2 linked regions of the Tribolium castaneum genome follow. The protein of the gene in region 2 interacts with the protein of the main gene of each other region in a pairwise test. Links are inferred from orthologs where the notes say so. Each region holds a gene or a part of one and is shown on either strand. Other genes may lie near its edges. The genes, in order: Keap1 and cnc.

Region 1 (4,268 bases), on a different chromosome or scaffold from region 2:
TGTTTATCAAGTTGACTATGGAATTCAAGTTCATTGTGCCGCTTCTTCCCAATGACTATTGTGATTTCTCTGTGAAATCTTGAATTAAACTTTTACTCACTTTTTGCATTTTTCAGCAAAGTTTATTTCCGGGATTTTTGATGTTTTGTATTTTTTCGTTTTTGAGTTCGAGGTCTTTTGCATTATTTTGACGGCTCTGTCACTTTGACGGCATTCACAATTTAAATTAAGCGGCACATTACGTTCAAATTTCATTGGTGGCTTGATGAACAACCATTTTTGAACACATTGTATAAAATACCGGGTGAACAAAAGTGACTGTTTCCAGTACTGTAATCGAAAATGATTTTTATTGATAAATAGTTGACGAAAGTTGTTTCCTTTTTATAATAATTACAAGTGTCAAGTATTAATCTGTCGACAACCGGAAGGCACTTTTAAGATAAAAAAAAATATTGTAGCCAATTTAGACACTCTTTTTTATCATCTGTTATTTCTTCGCATAGCCATCGAGATTTTGTCGATCTAATATTATGACCTAAATTCTCACTAGGAATTAGTAATTCAACTTGATTTCAATCGCCTATAAACATGGTGATTTTGTGTAGCTATTTATTGGTTATCGAATTATTTTTTATCAATTAATTAGCAATAATTTTAATATGAATTTTTCATCATCGATGTAGACTAAGAAATTTGCCAATTTTTCTATCTTCTGTAACTATTTAGACAATTTTAGCTTTACATATGGTGATGTTTCTGTACTTGCAAAAGTATTTGGTATTTTCGTTTTCCTGACATTCCAGGAAAATACTTATCGAAACAATGCATTGTCTTTTATCTTAAAAATCTGTATAATAAAAAATGATGTGACTGAAATCTATTTTTAAAAATGAGAATTACAGGCTGTTGCAGGAAGTAAATTTCAGTTGGGTCCTGCCAAAAATCTGTTAAGGTTATTAACCACTCCATTTTTTCTAGTCATTCTGACGTTGTTGTAATAAATAATAATCACATTTTCCCATCTTATCAGGTGTGTTTTAATTAGAAACAACGTAAATAATTTTTAATGCATAAAAATGACCACTGTTAGCGTGCAATGTAAACTTCTCACGCATTCTTGTCTTGACCTACGTTAAGGTTTGTAACCGGCGGCTTTTAAAAGTCATCATGTCATTCGCTGTTGCAAATCAGAAAATAACAAAACAAGTTTCTTGATATATTCAATAGATAAAAGTTTTTGATTAAATTTATTATCCATCATGTTCAGTTGTGGAGTAACGGTGGAGCATGGAGGACCATTGTTCGAGCTGTGATATATTAGTGCGTAATGTGTAGATAAAAAAAATGATTTCTCCCAGCGATAGTGGTTGGCCGGCAGATTTAGAGTAAGATTGCAAGTCATTTAGTTGATACTGGAATTTATTTTGTATGTTTCAAGGCTGAACATGCAATCACAAATAATGATACTCTAATTTGTTGTTTGTTGGTTTTAACAGTGTCGGTAACCGGACACTAATTAATCCCTTCTTCTGGTGTTATAAATTGATTTTTTGTTTCTTGTGTCTTTGGCGAGAAATGTTTTCCTGAGTCAATTCTTTGAAACATTCTATTTGAAAAATCCAGTAATAGTTTTTGCTGACGAATGTTTGTCGTATGAAGATCTTAATTGCACGAGCAATAAAACGACAATTTATGCATAATTAACTGATCATTTGTTTGGCTAAGATGTGGGCCGGTAATGTGTTGTTATCTTTGTGGTAACCAGAAAAGTATGATCGCGCCACGAGTGAGTGTGGAGATCATCAACTTTTTGACTTCGTTATCAATTGTCACGAAAAAATATTTATGATTTATTTGTAATAAATTAGTAATACTAATAATATAATTTGCAGTATTGAGATATTAGACCTAGCAACTTTTTAATGATTAATAAAATACATATTAGAGTTTAGCGTTGATAGGTAATAGAAATCATTCAATTATGTACGTACTCGTATAGCTTGTGTTATTTTACTTGTAACTTACAAGTATTTGAAACGATATTCTACAGGACTCTTTTAAGATACATATTTTAAAATTTTCGTTGAAAATTATAGTCACCAAAATAGCAGAATGTGTCTTATTAGCCATCAGAATCCAACTTTGGATTACTAACAAATTTTGAACTCAAAAACAACTATTTTTTAATTTATTAACATTTTGAAAGTATGAAAGGTGCATAATAGCAATATTTTAGAAGATAACTTTGCTTTACAATCATTTCTTATCTTTATTATTATTTAAATTTTTCACTTTAGACTTTAGATACAATTGCTTTTTTAAAATAATTTTTATTTTTTCAGTTAATAAATAAAAATTCGATACCTGTTTCTTGTTTTCAAATTTTATTTTTGTAATATCTGTTTCAAAACTAAATTGGTCACTAGAGTCCAATTTAACACAGAATTAAACCTTATTTCTACACCCTTTTAGCACCAGGTAAAGTTTCGACTTCTAGACCGTAAACACCTAGTATTTATGGTCGCCGCACTTTTGAGATTATGTTGTCTTATGCTGGTTTTACACAGCATATGATATGACTAAAGTTATACTTCACTTTCAAGGTTTGCTCTAATATGAGATCGAAAATATTTTCGATCTCACGTTAGTAAGATTTTTCTTAATACTCTCCTTACCACAGATCTTTTTCTGATTTTCTGCATAATATAGTTCAGTCTTTTCATTTCAAAAGTGGAACTTTTGATTTTAAGTAAATAATACAGGTTGCTCAAAAACCGGCGCATCAACTCAATGGTGTGTCGTAGAGAAATGCTAGAACACCATGATTTTTTTATGTATCGATAGTATTTCGAATGAGCTTTCTAATGAAATAGAGTTTGCATAGCAAATATAAAATATTTTTCGAGATTTAAAAAATATATGTATTTTATTACAAGAAAATATGCTTAGAATCTGATAGTCAAATGGTACATTTTTGATATGTACTGATGTGACTAATTACATTAGTAATCTAATTATTACCTAATACATAAATGAATTTCATTCATCAAGAATTATTAACAAAATAAATAAAACATATTTTTTTACTCTTTTGAACACTTTAAGAAATATTGTAAATTTGGTAAACAAACCGCATATCATTAGAAAGCCTATGAAACATACTATCGATACATGTAATGGCACACCCTGTACATTTCAAGTAAAAGTCGACTATTTCTTAAATCTACAAGGTATTCTGACAGGGGGGTCACCCTGTATAAAAAGTAAAATTGTAAAAAAATCTATGTATAAAAGTTACTGATAAATAACGAATCAATGTGATCGTAATTGAATTTGATCAAAAATAAAAATGAAATATTTTTTAAGTTGTTTCCTAGAAAATAGTACCAAGTGTTTGCGATTTTTTATTGAATTTTATTTTTTTTTAACAAAAAAACTGCTAAAGTCTGATAATAAACTTAAAAATAATTATTCACCATTGTGTTAGGGAACGATTACGTAGTGCGAAACATAAAACGATTAAAAATAATGAAAACTGAAGAAGTTAATAAAATAAGTTTGTCGCTCCAAATTTTTGAAAATATGACTTTAGTAATATTTTCAAGATTTTTCCCGTAATCCACACATGCTTTTCAACAACAACAGAGTTGGTGCATTGGTTTTTGAAGCAGCCTGTAGATCCAATATGTTCAAAAAAAAATTTTTTAATGCTAAGATCAGAGCAAAGAATCAGAACATAGGAGCTGTTATAGTTTTCAAGTTCTCGCAAACTTGGTTTTGATTTAGTACCAAAGCAATGTTTTTTATTTTTCCTTTTAGTCATTTTGAAAATTATTTCTCTGTGTGTACATGTTTACATACAAATTAAATTAACTAGTGTTATCTGTGTGATGATGTAAACGTAAATGACATATTGATAGCGGCATTTTAGGTACCATCAAAGACTAAATAATTGGGAGTAAAAAATTTTCGACCAATAAACCATTTTCTCCAAGTCTGTGCATACAGGATTTTTCACTTAAGAAACTGCCCCTGATTGAAAATAGTGGTCTATTCCCGGGAGTTTCATAATTCATGAGAGAATAACATTTTAAAACAAACAGGGTTTTTACTTATCTTATCTCTTGTATTGGCTATTTTTAAGGAAAGGTTTAGAGGGTTGTTGAAAAATAAGTGTTAAGGTTCTCTATGTCAGAACGATTAGTAAGAGGTGTATTTGGATTTGTAATAGGTACATTTTTAGTGATAATGATAATGTATCTGGA
Region 2 (3,834 bases):
GACAAGAAAAGACAAGTGTAGTTTATTGTAGAGATCTTTATTGGCACCAATAACCAAATATAAGTTGCTTGTAAAAGCAATGTTAAGTGTACAAACTGTAAGATTAAACCCAGCAATTCACTTGACGAAATGCTACACATTCACAGGGATACTTAATAAGCTACTTACAAGATATACAATGTACAAAACCTATACGATTTATAAAAAATATTAGCCTAGTAATTTAATGAAGATGTTATAACTAAGTAAAATATAACCAAGAAGTACGGGTACTACAGTTGTATAAAATAACGTGGTTACAATAAATCACATCCATCATTCAAAAATGATGATTACAGAACGTCTAACTGGCATGAAAATTAGCTCCACTATCTCCCAGTTCCTAGCACCAATAACGTCAGTCACTCGCATTCATCCATTACTTAGAATAACTATGTACAATATGTTATGAAAAAAAGGCATATTCATCACCTGATATTTTCATGTATTAGAAAAATATATTATCGTAGTTCTATAGTGAAATAACGCTTAAAGACAAAGAAAATTAATAAGCACTTTTCAAAGCTTCTTAACCCAGATACAAATCAATAGAAAATGTTTTTCTCAGCACCAACTCTTCGTTTAAATGCCCGTTAAATCAAACTGTTTTTGTATACAGTAAAACTTTTCCAAAATCAATGCGTATAAAAATAATGTTTGAGCAACGTTTGCCGTGAGAAATGGAACTTTCTTTAAAGTGTTACATCAAAAATGTATGCATATAAAACTAGTCAACAGTTCAATCTTTGTGACCTTGAGGTGGTGGCTCCTTGTGTTCTGGATTCGTCATTGTCGAGTTGGACCGAGGGACGACCAATATCGACCCATCTGCAGACGTCTGAAGACTGTATTGGTACGGCGAGTATTGATTCCCATCCGGATCCCGCAAATTCTGCACCGAAAAAATCGTCAGATACCAATATTTGCTCAAGTCACCCCACTTACTTGAAAAACGTGTCTGTATAGCTGCTGGTACTTGTCTTTCATGCGCTGACACTCGCCGGTGACATACTCATGCTCGTTCATGAGCCGCATTTTCCTATCTCGCATATCTTTGACCTCGTCAGCCAGACTCAAAATCTGGTCCAGCTTGCGCTTCCTGCAGTTCTGAGCCGCCACTTTGTTCTTGCCGCGACGGCGGATATCGCGAATCAAGCTCAACTGCGGCTCGCTCAGGTCGTACTTGGACAAGCGTTCGTTGAATTCGTCCATCGGCAAGTTAATAATATCATCGACGGTGATCGGAACGTTCAAGGCACGAGCTCGCTTCTCATCTCTCGTCAAATGCTCCTCGTCACCCTTCTTCGACTTGGTTTTGTCGCGCGAAACTGGACGTTGCATTGCCCCCGTACTTTCAGTGGGCAGGTGGTACGTATGGTTGTGCTGGATGTGGTCGAGGGAGTTTCTCACCAAGTGGCTGTGTCTCCCGAACTCCATCGAACACGAGTACTTCATTTCGGAGGGTTTGGGACCCACGGCCCCCTCCGGCTGGGAGCTGTTGTAGGGGGCTGCCGTGGGGTCGCGGTACTCGTATTTGACGGGGGGCTGGTGGGACACAGCGCTCGTTGCGCCCTGCTCCTGCAATGCGGAATTATGCGGTGCAATTTCGTAAAAAACCAATATTTCCTCAAGATTTTAGCAACGATTACGTGTTTAATATTATCTGTGTGCTTACAAGAATTAAAATAACATTTTGTACTAAGTATTCCAGTTATGTAAGGCATGTTTAAAAAAAAACTGTAAAATTAGAAACATATTTATCAATAAAAATATTAAAAATAAAAATAAAAATCATCATAGTTAACAACTCAACTAAATCGCTGAGTGGAAAAAAGATACATTTTTTTAATATGAAGCCGAGTATGAAACCCGAGATGAAATAAAACAACAAATTTTTGTCTGTGTTTTTATATTTATAAAGAAAGAACATAAATAAACTTTAGATTTAGACAAAAATTTTGGAAAGCTTGTTAAAATGATTTTTTGATTAAATTAAAAATAGTTTTGCACTAATACTAATACGTTTTTCTCTACTGTTGACATCAGAATAAACGATAAAACGTCGATTGAATTTTACTTGGTTTTATAAAAAATTGTCTTAACTAAGACCAAATTAGTGTATTCGGAAAATAAAAATCGTTAATTGTCGGTAATAAAAACTAGAAAAATTTGATTTGTAATAATTAACTTTGCTCAAATGGATTGCCGACTGTTGTTGATAATAAGTGCTAAAGATTTTTTTCTGTTCATTTTTTTACACAAGTGTTTTTTCTTCTTATAGATTTTCTTTTTAGTTCTTACGTAATTTCTAAATTTATTTTCATTTCTATATTGTTTATTTTTTATTATTTTATATTTCTATTAATTTTTCTTTGAGGTAAAATTGAACAGTTTGACCACCTCCCCAACTGTTCATTATTGTTTAATTTTATTCAAGTTGCTGATTCTTCAAATAAAGGGTAAAATAAATTTAAAGTTGAAATGACTTCTTGCCAGTCGATTACGCATATTAATCGGCCAATGTGGTTTGCAAGGTTTGAAAAAGAAAGATATTCGTTTACATTTTACCGGAATATTACTGCACCCCCGTTGGTGCTAAGAATTAACATTGATGATTTATGGACTGTCTGACCCATCCCTAACTTGACTACCTACCGATTTGTCTGGCATCTCGTTCTTACGCTTATCGCTTTTAATTTTTCAATCTCTTCCGCCTTCATTTGAAGAGCTATCAAAAAATTTTTTTTGATATACTTTTGATAAATATTTTAAAAAATTAACACCAACTCATGTTTTTGGCGAAAGTAATTTTGTTTAAAACCACTTAACTCAGTTACAAATAAGTAATGATATACTGTTGTAAAACACCGCAACATGTAAATAAATAAAATAAAGTTATTTTAAAATCTCGGTGCCTTTTATTTAAAAATAGTACCATTTCCGGTTGTTGACAATTTGACGCTCCAAACTGTATTAAAATTAAATAGGGATCCAACCAACGATCTTGTTACATCAAATGTAACCAAAACCATATCCGTTTGCAGTTTTGCTCGACGAGAAAGTGGTCTATTGTTAACTCAATCAGTCATTCTTATCACCTTGTATAATAAATTTGATAAAAATAAGTACTTCTCGAAAAGTGTGTGTTTTGAAAATGATAAGGAAGAGGCTTTAGTTATAAAATCACTTTACGCAAGTTATCTTTGTAATATTTTATTTAAATAAAGCAACACCTTTTGGGGAGACCGTTGATGTAATAAAAACACCAGACACTCATTACTATTTATTTCACTCTAACACTTGTTTCTGTCGATTTAGACTTCAACTTGAAGTAAATAAATTGCGTAAAAAAATAGTTTACGAAGAATTAACAACGCTAAGCCCAAAATGATTTTAAAATCGGTCAAACAACACAAATTAAAAAATTGAGTTTACTTATCGCGTCTTCACATTTGTAATTAAGGATTTTTATAGAAAATAACTAACAAGTATTAACTTTTGTCGTTCGTGTGATCCCAAAAAAATGCAGGTATTTAACTTCTGTAGGACAAAATATTGATAGACTGATTAATATTCTTTGGGTAACAAACAAAGTATCAACAGCAAAGTTTTTTCCATTGTTCCATAATGACATAATTAGGTGGTTAATTAACTATTTGCATAACCACACACTTTTGCAGTGATTACTGATTAGTGAGTGACTTTATGAAGTTCGGTGAATATTTCTAATATTGACTTGACATTCGTTTTTAACACCAAACGAAACACTGATACAGATTTTATGTCTCATAAAAC

The links.
Region 1: the proteins of cnc (region 2) and Keap1 interact in binary tests that used the Homo sapiens proteins (3 or more experiments, as listed by UniProt). The link is inferred for Tribolium castaneum from reciprocal best matches to the Homo sapiens genes NFE2L1 and KEAP1.

Annotation. Positions count from the first base shown.
Region 1 is NC_087395.1:20,688,793-20,693,060, forward strand, and holds the start of Keap1 (kelch-like ECH-associated protein 1B), read left to right. Parts: upstream 1-1,249; 5' UTR 1,250-1,347; coding exon 1,348-1,388; intron 1,389-4,268. UniProt on the Homo sapiens protein: Substrate-specific adapter of a BCR (BTB-CUL3-RBX1) E3 ubiquitin ligase complex that regulates the response to oxidative stress by targeting NFE2L2/NRF2 for ubiquitination.
Region 2 is NC_087403.1:2,302,050-2,305,883, reverse strand, and holds the end of cnc (cap-n-collar), read right to left. Parts: intron 1,618-3,834; coding exon 985-1,617; intron 932-984; coding exon 779-931; 3' UTR 17-778; downstream 1-16.